Tamandua tetradactyla: one gene and its partners. The protein of the gene in region 3 purifies or fractionates together with the protein of the main gene of each other region. This does not show direct contact. Links are inferred from orthologs where the notes say so. Each region holds a gene or a part of one and is shown on either strand. Other genes may lie near its edges.

Region 1 (8,338 bases), on a different chromosome or scaffold from region 3:
AAATATTTTATAATTGTTTTGCAGGAAGATCTGTCCTCATCTTTCCTTCGCTTTTTACATGGCTATAGACATAAAAGAAGAAAAAGACACGTATTTCAAGCAAGTAATACAAAATACAAACTTTAAACATCGACCTAATATTTTAAGTAATTGAATAAAGAAATGAAGGCTCTTTAGTGACAAACTTGATAAATGGTAAGGAACACGAGATTTGAAGTTAAACCTATATTTAAATTCCAGTGCCCAATGAGTTGTACGCTTATAATTTATAAGTGTATTTTTCATTATATAAAATGTTCACACTAAAAAAAAAAATTCCAAGGTCACTGTATTTATGAGTAAATGTATCAATCTCTCACAGCTTCTGTTTACTCTATGAACCATGAATAGCATCACCAATTTTACAGAACTTAAAATGAATGTATTAGATAAAATATGTCAAGTCTGACACATGATAGGGACAATACAAATGTTTGTTCCATCCCTTTTTAACTTTTATCTAGGTAAGTTTTAGTTAAACACATTATCCTGGCTGTACTTAAAAAAAAAAAAAAAAAACAAGAACATGATGAACAAGCCCAGGATCCCACAATATTTACTAATCAAACAGAAAATATAGTAACATCACCAGAAGAACACTTACTACAAGTCTGTTATTTTAATTTGCTATTAAAACAACCACTATCTTCCTTCTACATTAGTGATTACACTCACAGCATAAAGATTACTATAATGTTAGACATGACTATCTTTTTTGTTGATCATAAGTTAGTAATCTATATATATATTTCTATATATTATAAACAAATTTTATTATGATAGAAAATAGATATCAACTTATTGGGTACAAAAAGTTCCATTGGTTTTTTCTTTAATTCTCTCTTCTCTGTTTGTTAGAATAAACTTATCAAAATAACAAGGAAATTCTTAAGAGGTAATGAATAGGAGAATTATACTTCTGGAAACTTAATTGTATTATACAGCTATCAAGATTAAAAGTGTAGTGCTGATACAGGCAGATATTTTAATGGAATGGGTTAAAAAACTCAGAAACCGTATAATATATTTGCTATATATAAAATAAAGTAAATATTTAAGACCTTAATATATGATACTAATAGCAATCAAGTTAGTGGAAAAAGACACAGTTAATAGTATTGGGACAAATTTCTAACCTGAAACAAAATAAGATCAGACAAACTAAAACCGTATTTGTTACAATGAAATCATAAATACACTAGAAGAAAATACTGATGAGTATAGATACAATCCTGAGACAATATTAGAGGCACTATACTACAGCCTGTGGGGTCAGATCTACCAGCTGTCAGCTCTGACATCTACTGGGTGTGACCTTAATCAAATTAAACCTGCTGTTTTTAAAGAGTTTTTCCTTTCCTTCCCTTAAACTTCTTTATTTTGAAATAATTTCAAACTTATAGGACAGGTGCAAAAATAATACAAAACCAATAAGAGAACTCCAACATACCCCCACCCTTCAAGATACCCAGATCCACCATTATTAACACTGTACCAAATTAAACTTTTTAACCTTCTTCTCCTTTGTGGACTCCATCACAGGGTTGATATTAAGCAATATTAAGCAATAATATTTATAAAGCCCTTACCCTTACCATACAAAAGTAAGTGTCATTATAATTATACAAGCTCTCTAAGCAGGCTACCAAAAGCAGAAAACATAAGGAAAAGATTGATAAAACTGACCACACACAAATCAAAAACTGTGTAATTCAACTACCAAAAGACCATCACAAAACCTGAGACCAGCTGAGAACTGCCTTGATTTAGCTAATTAGTAGCTAGTATCAGCATAACTATTTTCAAGCATACAAAAGTCACTCAACTCCAAAAAATAATAATAATTAAATAAAAACAAAAAGAGGGGGAAAAAGGGCACCCAACTCCGAGAAAAAAGAAATGGTCGCGGTTAAAAGTGTATACATTTTAGGGCGGGCCACCGTGGCTCAGCAGGCAGTTCTTGCCAGCCAAGCCGGAGACCGGGGCTCGATTCCCGGTTACTACCCATGCAAAAAAAAAAAAAAAAAAAAAAAAAGCCTAAAAAAAAGTGCATACATCTCGGCTCACTTAGAGGACACCAGGACACATATTTCAGTTAGAATGCTAACCTGAGATGAAAAGACGTAAAAATATAGCAACTGTTTACCTTAAGATGCTAGCCCACTACTTAAGCGGCACTAGACTCTCTTTATAATGAATGCTTAGTGCACTTCACTAAAACTTGACAAAATCATGAAATGTCAGTATGCCACACTGAATTTCTAATTGTAGCATAAGAACTAGGGCCAGGAGAAACTGATTTTTTTATTAAGCACCTTGTTTAATTCCAGTACTGACACTAAGTGGCATTCCTAAAATAGACAGAAGGATAGGCTAGGTGAACTTTAAAATCCTTTTCATCGCTAAAGTCCTATGGCTCTATATCATGAAACCAGAACCTGTCTCTCGGCTACCCCATGACATGTCACAAGTCCAAAACATCATGTTCCACGAACATGTCAGGCTCTGGTAACTGGCCGAATCATCATTCTAAATCCAGATTTACCGTGACCCCCCAAACATCGCACAACCGCAATGTTTGTCAAGACAACTCTAAAAAGAGACACAGTCTAGGCACAAGATCATAACTTGGGGGTCTCACCATGTCCTTCCCTTCCGCCTCAGAGTTGCAAAGTCGGGATCACCTTCCACCCACCCAACCCCAACAGCCGGAGAAAGGAACTCGACAGACACTCGACCGCACCTCAATCTCGTAGTCCTTCACTGGAGGGGGAGCAGCCGCCGCCGCCATGGCAAGGACCCCTACCATGCTCCCTGCTTCCCAGTATCCCGGTTCCTAGGAGCATTCGCGAACCGGACTGGCCTGCCTGGAGGCCATGGGGGCGGCCTGCTCCAGGAGGAGAGCCGAGCTGGGTCTCCCGGTCCGTCTCGGATTTCCCTGCGCCCACCCGCCGAAGAGCGCGCGGAGCCCGGGCCGAGCTTGGCCGAGTCGAACGCGGGAAGAGGGGAAGAAAAGGCGCGGACGGCGAGACCCCTGGGGCGCGGCCAGTGAGCGCCGAGTGCCTCCTAGGCGGGCGCTCTAGGGTGAGTCTTCAAGGCTAGAAGGGTCCGGGCGGGGAAAGCTGACCGAACGCAGATCAGTCCTGAAAGGTTTAGCAGGAGTTCTAGTCAATTGGGTTTTCGCGCCGTCCGGCGCGCGGGGGGCGGAGCTTAGTGTTGCTTCCCGAGATCTGAACGGACGGTGAGCCAAAGGAGCCAAAATGCTTCTCTTGGCGAACTGGCCCGAAGCAGGATCTTAGTACCGAGGAATTTAATGTCAACCGGAATTTTAAAGATTCGAATTTCTCGTGACTTAAAGTCCAATTTCACATGTAAGGACTTGATTTGACTTGGATCACCTAGTCGGCGATAAAACTAAAACCCTAGACTCTTGACGCTCCAGGCCGGATCCTTTTTTAAAGTGGAAATTTTGTTAAAGAAGTAACAATTACTATATTCCTATCACCCAGTATATGTTAATTATTTGGCGTGAGTCATACCTCGAGATAAGCCCATTTGGGGTCCGAGATTTTGGCTTTACGTTTATACCCCGAATTTGGCTAAGAAGACTTGTTTTCCCTGTGGATTTCGTCCTCTGAGCAGTGTAGGAGTCCAAGCAGGATACCAGTGTTTTGCTGTTAGTAGTAATGATAACCTTGTTTTCATTTCCATTGTTTTTATGGATTTGTTTAGTCTTTTTTTCTTTTACGTGAAAGTTGCAATTACATAAACATAATGAATGTTTGTTGGAAAGCATAAGTTTTTAACTGACGGGTATGTAAAAACTGAATCAAGTGTGTAGGAGCCGACAGAGAGAAAGGACATAATCAAGTAATGATGGGAAGCCACCTGTTCCAGTGTTATGCAAAGTGTTTTTAACTACTGAAGTATTTGTGACCATCTTTTAGGGTCTTTGTTGCTGTCTTATCAGAAGTGGGAGGTAATTTGTGTGGTAAGAGCACATACAAATGTTTCCCTAATGAAATTAATGGTAATTACGTTTTCTTTGAAAATTAGCTCTGAATAAGATTTTTCAGGAGGAGAAACACTACTGCTTTAATGCTCTGTTCTGTTTCTTTAATGTTTTGCTTAATGTTAATGTTTTAAAAATAATGTTTAATGTTTAATGTACTGTTCTGTTCCCTTGTTATATATGTTTTATAACTCAGGGAGTATATGAACATTGTCCCAAAAAAGAACAAGAAAAATAAATGAGAAAATTACAGGAAAAAAACCTAAAAATTTCCTTTGACTTTTACCCCTGAACTTGATCTTCTCCCTTTCTCCCAGAGGTGGCCACTATTATTTATTTGGTGTGTACTGCTGCAATCTTTTTCATAGCTTTCCATACACATATGTATCCATAGGAAATCTTTACTTTTGTTTTTATGTACAAAAAAATTATAAATAAATGGTGTCACTGTAGATATCACTCATTTGCTTGTTTTTTTTACTCAACATTGTTTTCAAGAGCTGTTCATGATTCATGTAGACCTTGTGCTGGTTTGAACGGAAGTATGCCCCCTAGAAAAGCCATATTTTAATCAAAATCCCATTTCATAAAGGTAGAATAATCCCTATTTGGTACTGTATGTTTGAATCTGTAATCAGATCATCTCCCTGGATGATGTGATTTAGTCAAGAGTGTTTGTTAAACTGGATTAGGTGACAACATGTCTCCACCCATTTGGGTAGGTCTTGATTGGTTTGCTGGAGTCCTATAAAAGAGGAAACATTTTGGAGAATGGAGATTCAGAGAGAGCAGAGAATGCTGCAGCACCACAAAGCAGAGTCCACAAGCCAGCGACCTTTGGAGATGAAGAAGGACAACGCCTCCCGGGGAGCTTCAAGGGATACAGACTGTGCAACAGGACTAGATACAAAAATGCAAAAATGTACAGCACAATACTACCTAATTGTAATGTAATTATGTTAAAATACTGAATGAAGCTGCATCTGAGCTATAGTTTTTTTTTGTTTGTTTTTTTATATATATTTTTTGTATTTTTTATTTTTATTTTTTCTCTATATTATCATTTTATTTCTTTTTCTGTTGTCTTGCTATTTCTTTTTCTAAATCGATGCAAATGTACTAAGAAATGATGATCATACATCTATGTGATGATATTAAGAATTACTGATTGCATATGTAGAATGGAATGATTTCTAAATGTTGTTAGTTAATTTTTTTAATTAATAAATAAATGAATAAATAAATAAATAAATGAAAAAGAAACCCGAAGCCAGGAGAGAAAGCTAGCAGATGATGCCATGTTCACCATGTGCCCTTCCAGCCTAGAGAGAAGCCCTGACTGTGCTCACCATGTGCCCTTCCACTTGAGAGAGAAACCCTGAACTTCATCGGCCTTCTTGAACCAAGGTATCTTTTCCTGGATGCCTTAGATTGGACACTTCTATAGAGTTGTTTTAATTGGTACATTTTCTCGGCCTTAGAACTTAAACAAGCAACTTATTAAATACCCCTTTTTAAAAGCCATTCCGTTTCTGGTATATTGTATTCTGGCAGCTAGCAAACTAGAACAAATCTCATCTATTCCCTTTCATTCCTGAGTTTTCTATCCAACTATGCACCACGTTTTAATTATGTATTTCCTTAGAGATGGACATTTGGGTTGTCTCTAATTTTCTGTTACTCAAGCAGTGAGTGAATGAATATTTTTGTCTAGGTCCCCTAAACACACGTGTAATGTCTCCCTAGGATAAACATCTCAAAGTAAGTTATAGGTTATGTCTATAGGCTTTTTATCCTTCTTGAATGTTATGCATTTGTACTGCCTTGAGTTGTTATCATATGCACTGAGTTTGTTTCTAGATATGTAATTAGTATTTTACACAACCCTCATTTAGGAACTCATGGTATTTATCAATTTTAAATTAAATGGGTTCCATGTTTGTATAGCAACTTAGAGTTTACAGTTTGTTCGTGTCATTTAGAGTATCTTTCCTATTTTTTTCATAAACCCTACTTTAATTATTTTTCATTTTTAACAAAGTAATGCCTACACTTTGTTAAAAACATCAAAGAACATTTTAAAAAACATAAAAATATAGCTATTTCACAACCTGGGTCTCTTTCCCATAGACAACCAATTTCAACACTTCACAATATAAATAACTTATTTTTTAATATATAATATGTTTGTACAGCTATTTCTTGATTTAACTACATTAAACATATTCATTAATTTCCTGTTGTGGTGACTGAGAATTAAATTCTCTTATACCACACCCTTCACACTTTCTCTCCTTCCCCCCTTCTATTATATTTATATGGCAATTTTTTACTAACTCAATCATCAATTTTGCATTTTGTGATGATGTAAATATTGTTTACAACTGATCCAAGTGATTTACTTTCGCCTCCAAGTTTTTTTCTTTTCCTGGAATTGATAAGTACCTCCTCTTTTTTTTTCTATTTTATTTTGTTTCTATATATCTATTACCTGCTGCCCAAGAGGAGAGTCAAAATAATCAATGAAAGGTAGGTCAAAATACCAAAGAATCAACAGATTCTGGCACTTAGGGCTAGAGGAGGGTCCAGAGGCCCCCTGCTTTGCCAGGCATTAATCCAATAGTTTTCTGGTCCTGGGGGTTGTGGGTCTGGGGAGTCTGCTGCCTCTTCACAGGGGCCTCCCAACTGTCAATATGAGGTGATCTTTCTCTGGGACCATTCAGTTTATCCTCCAGTTTCAAGAACTGTGGAAGAGTTGTATATCTTGCAGTTGGGTAGGGGCTATTTGAAGAGGTCACCTAACTGCATGTTATAGAACTCTGGAACTGGAAGATGTCACTCTGATTTTAACTAATACCCTCCTTTTTCAATCCCATACCTCAGTGTCACCATCTGTGGTAGTCCATCATTCCATAAATAGCGTGGAGTTCCTACTATATGCCAGGCACTGTTTAGACACCGGGAAGCAGCATGAACAAAACAGATAAAAATCCCTAACCTCTTGCAGTTTACATTCTGATTGAAGGGACATATAATAAAATTGATAAATAAGTAAAATATATGGTAGGATAGGTAAGGGTAAATGCTGAGGAGAAAATAGAGCAGGAAGTGGGATAAGGAAATGAATGCCAGGGGAAAGATTGCAATTTTAGAAGGTAGTCAGGCTATGCTTCAAATTAGGCCCAAGACTTACCCCCAAAGAACCTCTTTTGTGGCTCAGACGTGGCCTATCTCTCTCTCAGACAACACGGCAAGTAAACTCACCGCCCTCCCACTCTCTACGTGGGACATGATTCCCAGGGGTGTAAACCTCCCTGGCAATGAGGGACAGAAATCCTAGAATGATCTGGGACTCAACATCAAGGGGTTGAGAAAGTCCTCTTGACCGAAAAGAGGAAGAGAGAAATGAGATAAAATAAAGTGTCAGTGGCTGAAAGATTTCAGAGTCGAGAGGTTATCCTGGAGGTTATTCTTACACATTATATAGATATCCCCTTTTTAGATTAAAGTGTATTAGGCTAGGGGGAAGTGCCTGAAGCTGTAGAGCTGTGTTCCAGTAGCCATGTTTCTTTAAGATGATAGTATAATGATAATAGCTTTTGCAATGTGACTGTGTGATTGTGAATACCTTGTGTCTGATGCTTCTTTTATCTACGGTATGGACAGATGTGTAAAACATGTGGATTAAAAATATATAAATATTAGAGGGAACAAATGTTAAAATTAAAAAATATATATATTGGATAGGTGGCCAATGAGAGGGAGGGGTTAGGGGTATGGTATGTATGAGTTTTTTCTTTTTTCTTTTTATTTCTTTTTCTGGAGTTGATGCAAATGTCCTAAAAAATGATCATGGTGATGAGTATACAACTATGTGATGTTATTGTGAGCTATTGATTGTATACCATGTATGTAATGTTTGTATGTTAAGAATGTATGTGAAAAAAAAAGAATGTATGTGCTTCTACGTTGTATCAATAAAAATTAAAAAAAAAAAGTAGTCAGGCTAACGTAAAATAACTGATTGTTGCAGAATGAGAAACAGGAATGTGTAGGACACAATGAATGGATATGAAAAATTGTAGAAGTCTTGTTGGAAGTGAATTTTATTGGTTGTGGTTAAGGTTGGCTAAGATTTTTATAGTTTTATAAGATTTTTAATAGTTTTCTTATCAGATGGATCTTCATGCAAAACAAGAATTTGATTTTCACTCTGTTAAAATGACAATGTTTTCTTGGATTATTTGTTTGCTCTTAGTGAGAAGCTATAAAAAGTTTTTAAGCATC
Region 2 (7,858 bases), on a different chromosome or scaffold from region 3:
AAGATAATATCAAGTGGCAGTGAGGGTGTAGAAAAAATGGAATCCTCATACACTGCTGATGCAAATGTAACATGATGTTGGCCACTTTGGAAAACAATCCAGCAATTCTTCAAAAAGTTGAACAGTTACCATACGATCCAGCATTCCACTTGTGTGGACATATGAAAAGATATTTCCATACAAGAACTTATACACACAAGTGTTCACAGCAACATTATTTGTATAGCCAAAAGGTAGAAACAACCCAAATGTCCATCAACTGATGAATGGAAAAAGAAAATGTGGCAAAGACATAAAACGCAATATTATTCAACAATAAAAAGAAATGAAGAACTGGTACATGCTACCAGTGAATGTACACAGATGAACCTAGAAAACATTGTACTAAGTGAAAGAAGTCTGTCACAAATGACAACATAGCATATGATTTCATTTTCCATTTATATGACAGGTACAGAATAGACAAATCCCTAGATAGAAACAGAAGGTAGATTGGCAGTTGCCTAGAATTGGGAGTAGAAAGAGGGTGAGGGGAAATGGGAAGTGATTCCTAATGGTACATGGTTTCTTTTGGGTGTCATAAAGTTCTAAAATTGACTGTGGTGATGGCTGCAGAACCATGAATGTACTAAAAGCCAATGTACACTTTTTTTTTTTTTAACATGGGCTGGCATGGGGAATCGAACCCAGGTCTCCGATATGGCAAGCGAGAATTCTGCCACTGAGCCACCACCACACTCAATGTACACTTTAATCAGTGAATTGTATGGCATGTGAATTATATCACAAGACTTTTTTTTAAAAAAAAGATAATTTTCAGGTACTGACAAGGGCTAGGGAATAAAATAGGTAAATGTGGAAAAGGTGGCTGTGAAGAATATTTGCTTTAGCTAGAATAGGGCAAAGCCCCTCAGAGAAAATTACTGAAACCTGAATGATGAAAGGGCAAGTAATCAGAAAGCAAAAGCTCCGTTACAATAAAATCACACAATGGGGCAATGAGGCAGCTGATAACAATGTAGATGGACTTGACAACTCTTCAAAAAAGCTGTCCCAAAAGTCTCATGTGATTGTTTATATGGCTTCTTTTTTATTCTCTTTATTTTTAACTTCATTTAAATTTCCTGAGTAGATGGTTCAGAATCCAAAAGGGTAATAAATTTCCCTTCCACCCTGCCTCTCTGACACATATTTCCCATCTCTGGAAGTTCAAATGCTACCGGTTTCTTGTACATCATTCTGAGATATTTAATGCAACTACAAGCAAATATATATTTCACCCCTATTTTTGTATAAAATGGTAGGATACTTATTGCTCTGCACTTACTTTTTTCACTTAATTTATCTGGGCAATTATTTCATATCAAGGCATAAACAGTTTTCCCGTTTTTAATAGCTGCATAGTATTCCTTTGCAGGGATATAGTATTTTATTCCTTTATTGATAATTTTTAATTGGAAAATATATGAGAAAACGCAACTCACAGGGCAAGAGGTGTTAATCTTTCAGGTACTGATGAGCTTCACAAGATATGTGAATCTCCTAAAATGCTGTACCTGTGCCTATGTGCGTTTCTGTGGACAGAAAAGCTGCATGTCATTCACCACATTATCAAAGGAAACTGTCACCCAAAGGATAAGAAGCACTGTACTCTAATACAATTTGTACACAGGTTGAACAGAATTTTAGTCTAGGATTTTGCTAATTTTTAAACTAGAGACAGGAGGACTAAATTAAATACCAATAAAATCAAAAGTTCTTACCTACTGTATAGAACCTTTTCCCTCTAACAAACAGCAAACTAACCAATTTAACTCCAACTTCTTTTCTAACAAGGACTTTACATTTCAACTTGTACCATAAACAGGAGCACTAAAGAAACAGAAAAGAACCAAAATTAGAAGTACCTAAATGATCAAAAGTTGACTATACAAGGTGTCATTCACCCTAACAGACAACATCAGAGGCATCTATAATGCCTCTTATACTCTGTGACTCTCCATAGAGTACTTCCTGAGAAAAACAGATTGGGAGTTGTGTAGTTGTATAATGTAATGTCTACCACATGCTAGGCACCAGAATGGAAGCTTTACATATCTTGTTTAATCTTCAACACAATCAAATAGAGCAGCTATTATTTTCCCTTCTTTCACAGTTAAGAAAACAGAGGCTTAAATGGGATCTAATTTAAGCTACTTTCTGGGCAAGACCACAAAACTATTAAATAGCAGAACAAGACTAAAAGACTCTCTCCTTCAAGGCCCTAAATCTCATCAAATTTCCACAGTACCATTGCCTGATCGTGCCTGAACTTCAAAATCTAGTAATAATCATTTCCAGGAGGCAATATACTATAGTGGTCAGAAAATATACTAGATTCTAATTCTAATCATTTACTAGTTTTATGACAACTGTCTAAATTCTGACAGTCTCTTTTACCATCTGTAAAATGGGATTGCTGTGAGGTTTAAACGAAGAAAGGTTTGTAAAACAAACAGCTCACATATCGATATAAAGAAGACGCTTGGTATAGGGGGCCTATTACCATTATTATTTTATCTTCTTTGAGAAATAAAGAACTGCAAAGTTTTCCAATTTGTATAGAACTTTTTCCCCAGAAGGCTGGTACTCTGACAGAGAAGGTGAAGAACTACTGACAAAATTACATCTGAGTATTAAGTATCCTCTGAATTACTTGAACATCTTAAAGGATAATTCATATTTAAAATATTTCAAACGTTATACCTGTATCATCACGAATGCAAGTTTTGCTGACTGCATAATTGTTTCACTCTCAATTTATTTAAACGCTTTATACAAAATTATGCAGAATTATTTTTAAGATTTTTTAACGTCATAATAAGAGATGACAGCTGTCAAATGTATTACATCTGTTTCTACCCACTGTACCTTTTTCCTGTAAACTGTGTTATCGCTTTGACTGCTATGAACGCATCCAAACAAAATAAAACATCCTTCCCATACCCTCGGTCTCAAACCAGTTAAGGAAGGGATGAGCGCTTCGCATAGCTGTTAATGAAAAGTTGAAACCCTGACACAACTTATAGCAAAGGAAAGTTTCTTACATGCTTCTGCCTCGGGACCCAAAGCTTGGAATGAAAGCTTTAGGCAAGATTCAGACTGAAACTCGGGACAAGGCTGAACAGGAAAACTTCACCACCGCGCCCCCAAATCAACTTCATTATGCCCTTCCTTCCTCCCTTCCCCCAAGGGTGGAAAAAAACGAAACGCCTGCGCGGCACCAAAAGACCTGCGCACTGGTTTCCGCCGAAACCTAGAGCCCGCCGTCAAAAAAAAAAGTACTGCGACCAATGCCCAAGGTTTGCCCCTTCTCTGCCTTCGCTCCCCCTACGAAGAGCCACTTATCGCCGTCTTTTCCTACCATCCATGCAAGACATGCCCCGTCCACACCCAGACAGCAAAGTCTCCCAAGCCCCCGAGCTGCACAGCCTCCCCTAGGGGCTCACCATGGCTGCCCAAAGACTGAAGCGAGGGCGGGCAGCAGAAGAACCGGCCGTCTGCGCAACCCGTTACCGGGACCCAGGATCCATTCGCGCCAACAACTTCTCCCGCGGAGTAGAAGAAGGCCGAGGCGCGGCGCGTAGTGATGACGTCAGGAAGCGCGCAGCTTCCCTTCGGCTCCGAAGCGGGGCAGGAGGTGCGACGTGGGCCTGGGTGCCGCCCCTGAGGACGGCGGGCCGCTGTCCTGGCGGGGAGCTAGCCGCAGACGGTAATCCGCGCTCACGTTTGCGTCTTTGGGTTTTGGCGGGGGCGCTTAAATTGGGGTTGCAAGATTGGACTCTCCGGAAGACCAGGTGCCCAACGCCCCTCCCAGTTACACGTATAGACGTTGCACTCCCTATATTAGTTTTTACCATCACCGGCATTAATATATATTAGATATAAATTTCATATATTACATATAAATACCTAATCTGAAACAAAAGTTTCACCGAAACAGTATTTACACAAATCTTTTCTTTTAATCTTTGTCTCGACCACCCCGTCTGAAAATCACCGGGTTAAAGGGCAATCTTGAAGTTGTACAGTTCTAGAACAAAAAGGACTTTGGAAAAGTCATCTGTCGCCACAACCGACACCGACACCATTTTATAAATGAGAACTATAAGGTTCAAACAAATTAAAGGGTCCAGTTTGTTCCAAAGCTGCCTGACGTTCGGAATCTAGGCCTCCTAATCCCCAACCGTGCATATTAAGAATAGTGGTATTGTGAAGACAAGGCATAAACAAGGGCCATCTCACTAGAAGAGCAATGCTCTCCAAAGCTTAGGAGGAAAGGAATTTTCTATTTTTAGATAGGTAACTGAAGTGTAGAATAGAATGCAATATTTGCCTGCGATTCTAAGAGGAAGCATGAGACCATAAATAGTCTAATGGTGAGAGCACTACCTAGGCTTCCTCTTGGCGTTTCATATCCTTACCCCCCACCTACCCCCACCCCCTATTCAGTAATGCACTTTATGACCCTAAAATTTCTGCAGAGAAAGATAACAAAGCCAACTGGAATACGGTAGAGGCTAAGTATGAAGAGCTTGTATTTATTAATGACCACGGTGATATGTACCAACCATCCAGCTATGGATTATCCTACTTTAGCTCATTTAATCCCCACGGTGACACTAGCTATTCGTATTATTCCCAATCTACAAATGAGTAAACTGTTATTTATGAACAGAGTCTCATTATATGGGCCCCTCTCAAGCCAGTATGGTAAGGTCCCCAACCCACCGCTTGGGGACCATGAACAAGTTACTGTGCCTTGGTTTCCTCATCTGTAAAATGAGGGTAATAGTAGTAGTACCTTAAAGAGTTGTTATGGAACTGTTCCTGGCACATCAGTAATCATTTTTTTAAATGCCATCCATTATAATCATTATGATTACACAATACTAGGTATTTTCAACGGAGATTGTTCCAAAAATAAACTTATCTACCCCACGATTTTGCTCAGAGAAATGCTTAATGAGGGAGAAAGGGTTACACACGTTTATAAATCAATAAAAGTTATGACTTGCTCCCCAGAAAAGTGTACATACCAGTCACATCACACAAAATTTTGACTGTAATGTCAGGAGGCGTAAGTCAAATCATAGTGTTTATTGACCTGTGAAAAAAATAAGTAGATAAATAAACAAAACTAAAATGTTACAGATCAAGAGATCTCAAGGACCTAGGAATTTGTAATAAACTACCTGTAGAATAGAAGGGAACACTGAGAGAGTTCAAATAGAGTCCTAGAGGCTATTCTGGAAGCTACTCTTATGAAAGCTCCAGCTAGATAATGATACTTACCACAATTGGTAATTATCCAATCCAAATCATTCCCGGTAACCCTAAGAACACCTAGGGCTCTGTGCCAGTTTTAAAATATTATGTACCCCAGAAAAGCTATACTCTATTCCTGATTCAATCTGTGGAGGCAGTCATTTCCTCTAATACTAATTCTATACTGTATAGCAGAAACTTTTTTTTTAATTTGAATATATTTACTGATCAGCTTTTCTAAGAATATTTTTACTGACAAATCTTCACACACATCCATTCCATACATGGTGTACAATCAGTGGCTCGCAATATCATCACTTAGTTGTGTGTTCATCACCATAATCATTTTTAGAACATTTGCATCACTCTAGAAAAAGAAATAAAAAGAAAAAAGAAAAAACTCATACAATCCATACCCCTTACTCCTCCCTATCAGTGACCACTAATATTTCAATCTACCCAATTATTTTAGCCCCATATTCCCCCTATTATTTATTTTTTATCCATGTTTTTTTACTCATCTGTCCATATCCTGGATAAAAGGAGCATCAGACACAAGTTTTCACAATCACACAGTCCTATTATAAAAGTTATGTCATTACACAATAGTCTTCAAGAATCAAGGCTACTGGAATACAGTACAACAGGTTCAGTTACTTCCCTCTAGCCACTCCAATACACCATAAACTAAAAAGGGATATCTATATAGTGCATAAGAATAATCTCCAGGATAACCTCTTGACTCTGTTTGAAATTTCTCAGCCACTGAAACTTTATTTTGTCTCATTTCTCTCTTCCCCCTGTTGGTCAAGAAGGCTTTCTCAATCCCAGGATGCCGGGTCCCAGCTCATCCCCTGGTGTCAAGTCCCGTGTTGTCAGGGAGATTTACATCCCTGGGAGTCATGTCTCACCTAGTGCATTGGGGAAGGACAGTGAGTTCACCTGCCACATTGGTGTAGAGAGAGAAGCAACATCTGACCAACGAATGAGGTTCTCTGGGGGTGACTCTTAGGCATAATTATAAGTAGGCTTAGGTTCTCCTTTGCAGGAATAAGTTTCATGGGGTGAACCCCAAGATCAAGGGCTCAGCCTGTTGACTTGGTTGTCCCTACTGCTTGTGAGAATACAGGAATTTTCCAAATGGAGAAGTTTAATATTTTCCTCTTTCTCCCTAGTCTCCCGAGGGGACTTTGCAAATACCTTTTTATTCTCTCCCCAAATTACTCTGGGATATATCAGGACATCACACTAACTTGGACAAACCAACAAGATCTCACTCCTTATTCAAAATTCCATGTCCTTATACTGTTTAAATAAACTGACCATACAAAGTTAAACTAGGCAATGCACTACCCCAAATATAAATTTTACACAAATAAACATCCTTCTTTTGGTCTCATACAGAAGTTTAGTTTAAAATATAGACCATATCATCCTTTACCCTGTATTTTGATTTATCTTAGTCCTATCCAGATCAGTTTCATTCATGTCTCTACTTCTGGAAAGGAGTTTTAATTTTATTCTATAAAATATTCTAATTTTATTTTATAAATAGATCATTCTATACTTTGTATTAAGAAATGATTACTTTGTGTTTTATGGGAAAATATGACTTTTTTTTCATGGCTCCAAAGTCTTTGGGACTACTGAAACATTACAGTGCTGGTTTGAATCTGTTACATACCCCAGAAAAGCCAAATTCTTTTAGTCCAATTTTGTGGCACAGACCTATTTGATTAGGTTGTATCCATGGAGATATGAACCTGCCCATCCAAAATGGGTCTTAATTATCTTACTGGAGCCCTATATGAAGAGAATAAAAGGCAGAAAACAGAGAGAGAGCTCAGAGTTGACATAAAGAGCAGATTCCTAGACACAGATGTTTGAAGATGCAAAAGGAGGCTGCCCCAGGGAAAACCAGAAAGATCCACAGGAGCTGAGAGAGCTTTTTGAAACCAGAAGCTGTGAGAGAGGTCCAGCAGATGTAGCTATGTGCCTTCCCCTATGACAGAGAACCCAGATGCAGTTGGCCTTTCTGGAGTGAAGGTATCCTCTTGTTGATGCCTTAATTTTGACATTTTCATGGCCTTAGAACTGTAAATTTGTAACCTAATAAATCTGCTTTGTAAAAAGCCAATCATTTCTGGTATATTGCATTCTGACAGCTTTAGCAAACCAAAACAATTATAAAATATGATTTTTTAAACTTGTCTATTAAGTTTGTTTCTATATAACTCTGCATTTGGCTTTTAAACATTACTGTTTAGTTTGAATTTGCTCCAGGAAAAAGACCTAAGACTAGCCTCTGTGCAACTTCCCTCTCTACATGGCCTTTATTTGACAATAAAAATAAAATGATGATATGTCATAACTACTTCCATGCTTTAGCATGATATGAAAGACTGCAATAATCCATCTCCAGGAAATTAAGGATATGCAAAGAAAACAACAAACAGGCTGATGATTTTTAAACAGTTTTTCAGAGAGGCACAGAAAGTCATTTATTGATGACATAAAACATTAGTAACACCACTAGAAGTAAAAGCCTAAA
Region 3 (8,804 bases):
TGACTCTGTTTTGGCTGAGGGTCTCCTTCAGAGCTTAGCCATCCTATCAGGAAGATTATCAGAGGTGAATGCCAATTGCAGGTCCCCTCTGTCTTATCTGAGCTCGCCTAGAGCATGCTTCTTCTCCTGGGCTTATGCTTGCTGGTAGCCTTAGGAATTCCTCTGTTTACAGGAATGTTATTTCCCCCTCTATTCCCTTTGAAATAGACTTTCACACTTTCTTGGTGTTCTATTGTATGACAGGTAGTTCTTTGAGCCAGGGCACTTCTACTTAATCCTTTCTTACTCTGCTTTAGCTGTCAGCAAGCTGCTTCAGCACAAATTCTGGGAATAAGCCTGAGAAAAGTTTCCTGGTTCAGTCTTTCAGGCTTCCACCAGATAGATTGGCCCTGGCATACATGCACTCCAGTTTGCATTTAGGGGCGCCTCTGCTCCCTGTGAACAGGGCCAAGGACCCGCAACAGGAGTGCAGGCTGGATCCACACAATAGTGAGGAAGGGCTGGTAGATGGGCTAGCAAGGGCATCACAAGCATTGCCTATCATTTTTCAAACTGCTTTCTCTTGTTTCCACACTTTCCCAGTTACTGCAACCCTTTAGGTATTTTCTGAACTTTCAAGGAAGATAGCTTAGCCAGTTTTTGTTAGTTGTTCAAAGATTCTGTGGGGGACAGCACCCTGGAGCATCTTATACCACCATCTCGGTTATCTGAAAGATGGCAAGTTGATTTTTAACAAGATGTCAAGCCCACTCAATGAGGAAAGGATTTGTAAGGACTCAGAGCCTGGGCCCTGCTGCTCCTTTTCCCTCCTATTTTGAAAGCAAGTCACCTAGCCACCTATATGACTGGGGACAGATGTTAAAGATCAAAGAATGTAAAGCACCCCACCTCTAATAACCAAATCTCAGGAGAGTCTACTATAACTATGTGGTAACCAAATCCCACGAGACTGTTAAAACTTTATAAGCCTTTTCCTGGGCCCACCTCTCACCCTTTCTCTTCCTCTCTTGGATATGGGCAGAGTACAGACTTACATCTCCCAACCAGCCACCACTGGGGAAGATCTTCCTCCTGTCCATAGGGTCCTAATTAAACCTCATGGGTAATCTTCTGTCTGGCATGTTCTTTAGTCTCAGGTTGTGCAGGGCTGAAACAATCCTATCTTCAGCAAATGGTGCCTTGAAAACTGGTTATACATATGCAAAAGTAGGAAAGTTGATCTTGGCCTCTACCATACACAAAACTTAACTCAAAACGGATTAAAGGCCTAAATCTAAGTACCAAAATGATAAAACTCCTAGAAGAAAACAAGGAAACATTTTCAGGACCTTCTGTTAGGTAATGATTTCTTAGACTTTACACCAAAAGCACAAACAACAAAGAAAAAATAGATAAATAGGGCTTTATCAAAATTTAAAACTTGATTCGATCAGTGAGTGGAAAAGTATTTGCAAAGTCCCCTTCAGATAATGGTGAGAATGGGGGAAAATTCAACCCCCCCTAGTTGAATTCTTGATATTCTCACAAGCAGTGTGGACATCCAAAGCTATAGGCTGAGACCCCAGTCTTGGGGTTTGTTCATATGAAACTTAACCCCACAAAAGATAGGTCAAGTCTACTTAAAATTTAGGCCTAAGAGTCACCCCCAAGAGAGCCTCTTTTGTTGCTCAGATGTGGCCTCTCTCTCCAGTCAACACAACAAGAAATCACACCACCCTCCCCCTGTCTACGTGGGACATGACTCCCAGGGGTGTGGACCTTCCTGGCAACGTGGGACAGAAATCCTAGAATGAGCTGAGACTCGGCATCAAGGGATTAAGAAAAACCCTAGAATGAGCTGAGACTTAGCATCGAGGGATTGAGAAAACCTTCTCGACCAAAAGAGGGAAGAGTGAAATGAGACAAAGTGTCAATGGCTGAGAAATTCCAAACAGATTCGAGAGGTTATCCTGGAGGTTATTCTTATGTATTAAGTAGAAATCACCTTGTTGTTCAAGATGTAGTAGAGCGGCTGGAGGGAACTGCCTGAAAATGTAGAGCTGTGTTCCAGTAGCCATGTTTCTTGAGGATGACTGTATAATGATATAGCTTTCACAATGTGACTGTGTGATTGTGAAAACCTTGTGTCTGATGCTCCTTTTATCTACCTTGTCAACAAAGGAGTAGAACATATGGAATAAAAATAAATAATAGGGGGAACAAATGCTAAAATAAATTTAGTTTGAAATGCTAGTGATCAATGAAAGTGAGGGGTAAGGGGCATGGTAGGTATAATCTTTTTCTTTTCTGTTTTCGTTTTATTTCTTTTTCTGAATTAATGCAAATGTTCTAAGAAATGATGAATATGCTACTAAGTGATGATATTGTGAATTACTGATTATATATGTTAATGTTTTATTTGGTTTGTTAATTTTTTTAATAAATAAATTTTAAAAATTTAAAACTTCTGTGCATCAAAGAACTTCATCATGAAACTAAACAGACAATCTACAAAATGGGAGAATATATTTGGAAACCATGTATTTCATAAGGTTTTAATATCCAGAATATATAAAGAAATCCTACAACTCAACAACAAAAAGATAACTCAACTAAAATGTGAACAAAAGACTTGAATAGACATTTCTTCAATGGCCAATATGCACATGAAAAGATGCTCAATATCATTAGCCATTATGAAAATGCTCATCAAAACCACAAATGAGATGCCATTTCACACACACTAGAATGGCTACTTTTAAAATAAACAATATAAAAAGTGTTGGGAGGGATATGGAGAAATATAAATACTCATTCATTATTGTCGGGAATGTAAAATTATGTTGCTGCTATGGAAGACAGTTTGGAAGTTCCTTAGAAAGTTAAGTATAAAATTACCATTTGAAAAAAAAATTACCATATAACCCACCAATCCCACTTCTAGGTATATACCCAAAAGCATTGAAAGCATGGACTCGAACAGATATTTGCATACCAATGTTCATAGCATCATTATCCATAATTGCTAAAAGATGGACGCAATCCACATGACCATCAACAAACGAATGGATAAACAAAATGTGGTATATATAATCAAATGGAACATTATTCAGCTGTAAAAGGGATTGAAGTTCTGATACATGTGATAACATGGATGAACTCTGAAGGCATTATATTGAGTAAAATAAGCCAGGAACAAGAGGACAAGTATTGTAGGATCTCACTGATATGAAATAATTAGAATAAGCAATATAGGTTCAGAAACTAGAATATAGGTTATTAGGTAAGGGATGGTGGTGATTATAGCACAATATAGTGTGAACGTAAGGAATAGCACTGAATCATATATTTGAATTTGGTTAAAGGGGGAAATTTAGTTTATATATATGTTACTAGAATAAAAAATTAAAAAAACAAACAAACAACATAGGGCTATACAAAACAAAAAGTGAATCCCAATGTAAACTAAGGACTGTTGTTAACAGCTTAATTATAATGATATTGGCTCATCAATTTTAACTAAAGTACCACACTAATGCAAAGAATAATAATATGGAAAAGTGTTTGGGACAATGTAGGGGAGCATATGGGTACACTGTATTTTCTGCTAAACTACAACTTCTCTAATAAAAAATTAAATTAAAATTAAAAATTTCATATATCTCCATTTAATAACAATAATTGACTGAATATTCCTTAAAAAACTAAAGTTATTATTAGTTATCTGGTTTATTACATAAGTACCCATGCACAATACACAAAAATTGTACTTATGTTGTCATTTCCTGTTCTGGTGACAGAGACAATGCTTGTGTGCAAATTAATGAACTATCCGGGTCAGGATGCTGCCTGCAGTTGTGTACCAGAAAGATTGGCTGATGGGGCCAGCAGAGGCTGAAGCCCAGCCAAACCTCTTATCACCAAGTCTTTCACCGCCTCAAGTGGCTGAATATGCCTGGAAGGAGGCACTTTTTTTAACTGGTTGGCCAAACAGGCTACCAATCAGGTCTCTTTTTTCTACTTAGCATGAAGGCAGTTCTGTGCCAGTGCTGGCCCTACCAAGTTATTTATTGGCAAGCTCTGACTCTGGAATTAGGCAATCCTGGATGTGAATGCTGGCTTTACTAAGCCAGAATTAGCAAATTTGCTTGGCCTTTCATAAATTAAACTTATCCATTTTAGCCTCAGTTTTCTTGTATGTAAAGTGGGATTATAATATCTAACCCTGGGACATTGTGGTGCTTTTCTAAGTAGTAATATGATACCATCTATCTTCCTAGATCTTTGTTCTATTAACTTCACTGAGGTATAAATTAATACAAGAAAATGTACAAACGTTAAGTGTGTAGAGTAAGGAGCTTTTTGACCAGTGCCTAGATAGGTAACCTGCCTGCTTTTTATAGTGTCTAGAGATTGTGCACAGGCCCCGTGGAAGTTACAAAGTAGCATTATGCATCCTTAGCTAATTCTGTTAATCCCTTGATTAGGTTAGTTCTAGGATGTATTTTCAAGCGCCTCATTACTTCCTCAAGCATAACACACATTACATTGTCTGTCATCTTTCTAGACTGTAAAACGAATATCTTCCAACTTGTTTCCTAGCATAGCGTTTATTGCAAGATAAATGAACACACAGATAAAGTTAATAAAAAGTCTCATGTTGGGTATGAGCCAAACAAAACTTAAAATTATTTCCTTTGTAGAAGACCTGGGTCAGCCTTAAGGGTTAGGGCAATCGGTAAAGGCCTGAGAAGGTAGCAATTAAGAAGGGTCAGATTTCAATAGGATTTAGGGACAATTCAGAGCTAAGTCAAGTTGTGGGGAAGATAAAAAGGGTGGCCTCAGACACCTGCGCAGGGGCCACAGTGCATGTATTTGGTAGGGTTAAACGTTATCATCAGTCACTTAATTTTATGGAGTGTCTGCACCACCAGATTCTGAGCCGGCCTCTGGTTTAGAAGATAATCCTTCTAATTGAATGACAGGGTCCTGCCTCTCAGCAACGGGCAAACACTAACAGAGGTATAAATCCTGTGCCCTCAAAAAGGCCAGGAAAGGCATCTCCTTCGGACGTTTCGGGGCTTGCCCTTAAAATTACACACGGTTTGCTCTGCGACGAAGCCGGAGGGAGAGGACAGGACACGGCAGGAGGCCCTCTTCTGGCAAAAGATCGACTCCACCCTCCCCAACCTCGTCCTGCAGGGTGAAGGAGATGCAAACCCCGTCGCGTCACCGAAAATGTGCCAATGAAACAGACAGACAGCTCACGGTGAGTTACAGGAACTCCAAGCTTGCGCCTAAAAAGAAAGACCTCTTGGACCGGCCGCAGATTCCGGAGCCCCGCGCGCCCTTCGCTTTCCCGCCCTTGGAGTTGAATTGCGGCGGATCTCTCCCCGCCCACATTCACTGCGCATGCCCGGCTAGTAGTACCCGGCCGTTTCCTCGCGCGGCCTTTAGTCTCTCACGGACAGTTGTGCTGAAGTCATCCTACCCCGGAGTCTCGAGTAGGAGGAGTCCGCCCGGACAGGGTGAACGTTTATTTACCGTTTTCTAATCATGTTTTGCCCCAGTCTGTGTGTCCATAAAAGCTGACATATCTCCTCATATGCTTAAATAAAACTATGTATGAGTAACCTGATCCCGTGAGAAGGAAACCTCGGCCGTGCGCCTCGGAAAGGAAGTGACGCACTACGTGCCCACGTCTGCCCGCCCAGCTCTTCGCCTGCCGTTTGGTGGCGGGAACTGAGGCGCCTGCGGTGACCGCTGCAACTGTAAGTTTCACTCGGTCTGGTGTCCTGGGGCCTCGGGGGCCTGTTATTCTCAGATTGGGGGACGGAGTTAAAACTTCGCGACCGCTTCGCAGCCTCCATGTCTCGGGAACGCCGGGAAGGAGGCAGCGGCATCCTCTCACTGAGGACGTGTGGCTGACGGGCCCAGGCTGTACCGGGTAGCGCAGGTTAACAGGTGACCCGGCCAGAGAAATTGAGAGGGCGGCCCGTCGCCTTCCTGTACTCCTACGCCCGCGATGCCCCTGGAATGTCTTTCATCTCCGTTGTGGCGCGTGCAGGGGCTGAACCAGTCTAGCTCAACCACTTTCTCAAACCCCGAACGTATCCCATCGTGGAACGCTCGTTCAGTATTAATATCTTTGAGAGCCCAGCATTGGGTTTGTTACACTTTAGGCGCTTGTGGCAGGAATGGAGTAACACATAATAACGTTAAAAACTTGACTCTTTACAGATATTAATATATTTTATTGATTATATACCATATGCCAAGCACAGAATCATGTATTTGCACACATATGTTTTATTTAACTCAGTTGCCTTTGAAATAGGCCTTAGCTCCTTTTACAGAAAGGGGGCTTGAGTCTCTTATATGGTAATTCATACACCAAATAAATATTATAGAACGTCTGTCATGCACCAGCCACGTTTCTAGGTACTGAAGGATACAGCAAGGAATAATACAGAATTGCCAGTAATACTGTAAATTATCTGTCAAGATCCTGCTCCTTTTTTAATTGAAAAAACTCATGCTCTTCTGCATATTTTGGTTTTTTAAAATGAACATTTTATTTAAAAAAACACAGAGCTTTTCCCATTTTAACAACAGAATCCCTCATTTTCCCTTTCCTGGCAAAAAAAAAAGAGCCTTAAGGTAGTCATTACCTCTGCCAGTAAAACACATCTGAGCCCAAGAAAAGGAGTGAAGGTTCTCATCGGTGGTTCTAGGACTCCTAATTACTGAACCCATCTCAGGGTCTGAATTGAAGCCAGGCCCATAACTGAAATGGAAGTTACTGTATAGACCCTGTACAGTTTGGCCACTAGTGATACTGTATTTATCAAAGGATTTGGAACACTTAAAAAAAATGGTGTTCAGTTTTCTGTTCTAAGATGTATCTTTTTTCTGTAACTCCCTTACTATAAAGATATTGTAAGTTCTGTCAGGACTTTGGCTTCTTTTGTCTCTATAACCAGTGCTATATAAACTGTACATCCAGAGAGCCCTAGGTCTTGGGGTGATGTCCTTCATTTAGTAAGTAATTATTGGATGCCTTTGCACAAGGTTAAATGTGCTTTCAGACTGTACTTCCTCATGATGGTTTCAAATAGCTTCTACTTTTCTGTCTTGGATCTGTCAAGGTGGAGTAACCATGCAGGCATTTCTAAAAGGTGCATCCATCAGTACTAAACCAACACTGAGCAAGGATCGAGGAGTACCTGCCACTGCAGGAAGCAGTGGAGAAAACAAGAAAGCCAAACCTGTTCCGTGGGTGGAAAAATAGTAAGAACATTTGTGGGTTTTTTTAATAACTCATTTTACTTAAGACAGGAATGTTTTGCTTTTCTTAGATGTTGTCCTTGAAATTCTTCCAAATATGTAAGTCATAGAACCTTTGAACTGAAAGATACCTTAGAATGATCCAGTTTAATTCCCTTATTTTAATTATGAACTAAGGTTTCTCTACATTAAGTACAGTTTTAGAGCCTGGTAAACTACAATGAAAAGACAGTATCTATAAAGCTTCCTAAAGCTCTTGGTCAGGTAAATCCAAATAATCTATTCCCCTTTCCATTACTAATAGATGATACTTGTTGGGGTTTTGTTTATGTTTTTGACAAAAACAGCACTTGATGTGACACCTAAATTATCGGTCAACTAGGTGATATTATAAAAAAGGTAATTGTAACCTCTGAGTTTGGCCTCATATTTACCAAGGGTTTTCAGATGGGCCTCTGTATTTACCAAGGGTTTTCAGATGGCATATAGGCTAAATAGGGCCCTCACTGGTCTTGTTTGGCTCCAATAGTGCTTCAAAAAAAAGGCCAGGACCTTTCACATAAAAATCTGGATTATCAGTTTCTCAGGAGGTTAGGCTACACTGGGTACAAGGTCTCATATAATAGAAATTGGATTGACCTAAGAGGTGCTTTTAATCTTGGAAAAGAGGTGTTCATCAATTTGCCATAGACCCCATTATTTTCTTTAGTCTTACACTCTGCTGCCTTCATTCTTATTATCTGCCAGACCCCTTCAGGCATTTGTATATGAACCCTGGTTTATACAATACTCTGGTTTCCTTATAAAATATCTCACGTTTCTGCCTGGCATTGACCTGATTTATTGGAAAAGTATAGATCTAAGAAGAGCTTTTGGTGGGATAACTGAGTACAGGTCCTCATTTTAGGATTGGGGGTGTACATGTTTGTTCTTGTTTCTCTTAAAATCATTAATTAGTGATGTGAGATGAAAACGATATGATAAATTTTATCATGCTTCATATTGGTAAAACTTGTAATTTTGTGGGCCCTCAATGAAGTGAATAGGTTTCCTTTTTTTTTGTACAGTTATGTGGTGGAAGAAATTGATATTAAGAACTTTATAGTTAGCTATCCTGGGTTTACAAAAAGTGCCCCTTTTTCAGCTTGGGTTTATGGTCTTATCAAAATATATTACTATCTAGGCAAGAATTTAACTTGTTTACCCAATTGGCTTTTGCTTAATTTTTATAAGCATAACATATGGGAACAAAGCAGATGAGAATTGAAAAATTATTTATGTACCATAAATACAAATGGGATTTCCACCAACTTCCAATTACAGTTTTTCTTTCTATTACTTGAGAATTGTCATTGATGTTGTAGCAGAAGCAACACTTGAGACTCTTCTGTAGCTATTGTAACATATTAAATAATCTCTCTTTCTTTGTTCTAGTCGCCCAAAATGTGTAGATGAAGTTGCTTTCCAAGAAGAAGTGGTTGCTGTGCTGAAAAAGTCTTTAGAAGGAGCTGATGTGAGTAAAAATTGGTATTTAATGT

What was found.
Region 1: the proteins of RFC4 (region 3) and ATAD5 purify together in Homo sapiens (affinity purification with mass spectrometry; 5 studies listed by BioGRID and IntAct, counting the BioPlex papers as one, with this or other methods). This does not show direct contact. The link is inferred for Tamandua tetradactyla from reciprocal best matches to the Homo sapiens genes RFC4 and ATAD5.
Region 2: the proteins of RFC4 (region 3) and RFC1 fractionate together in Homo sapiens (co-fractionation; 7 studies listed by BioGRID and IntAct, counting the BioPlex papers as one, with this or other methods). This does not show direct contact. The link is inferred for Tamandua tetradactyla from reciprocal best matches to the Homo sapiens genes RFC4 and RFC1.

What each region holds. Positions count from the first base shown.
Region 1 is NC_135332.1:50,842,623-50,850,960, reverse strand, and holds the start of ATAD5 (ATPase family AAA domain-containing protein 5), read right to left. Parts: upstream 3,233-8,338; 5' UTR 2,849-3,232; coding exon 2,783-2,848; intron 63-2,782; coding exon 1-62. UniProt on the Homo sapiens protein: Has an important role in DNA replication and in maintaining genome integrity during replication stress.
Region 2 is NC_135345.1:41,121,569-41,129,426, forward strand, and holds the start of RFC1 (replication factor C subunit 1), read right to left. Parts: upstream 3,644-7,858; 5' UTR 3,492-3,643; coding exon 3,489-3,491; intron 1-3,488. UniProt on the Homo sapiens protein: Subunit of the replication factor C (RFC) complex which acts during elongation of primed DNA templates by DNA polymerases delta and epsilon, and is necessary for ATP-dependent loading of proliferating cell nuclear antigen (PCNA) onto primed DNA.
Region 3 is NC_135336.1:5,794,481-5,803,284, reverse strand, and holds the start of RFC4 (replication factor C subunit 4), read left to right. Parts: upstream 1-5,410; 5' UTR 5,411-5,750; intron 5,751-7,127; 5' UTR 7,128-7,138; coding exon 7,139-7,269; intron 7,270-8,700; coding exon 8,701-8,779; intron 8,780-8,804. UniProt on the Homo sapiens protein: Subunit of the replication factor C (RFC) complex which acts during elongation of primed DNA templates by DNA polymerases delta and epsilon, and is necessary for ATP-dependent loading of proliferating cell nuclear antigen (PCNA) onto primed DNA.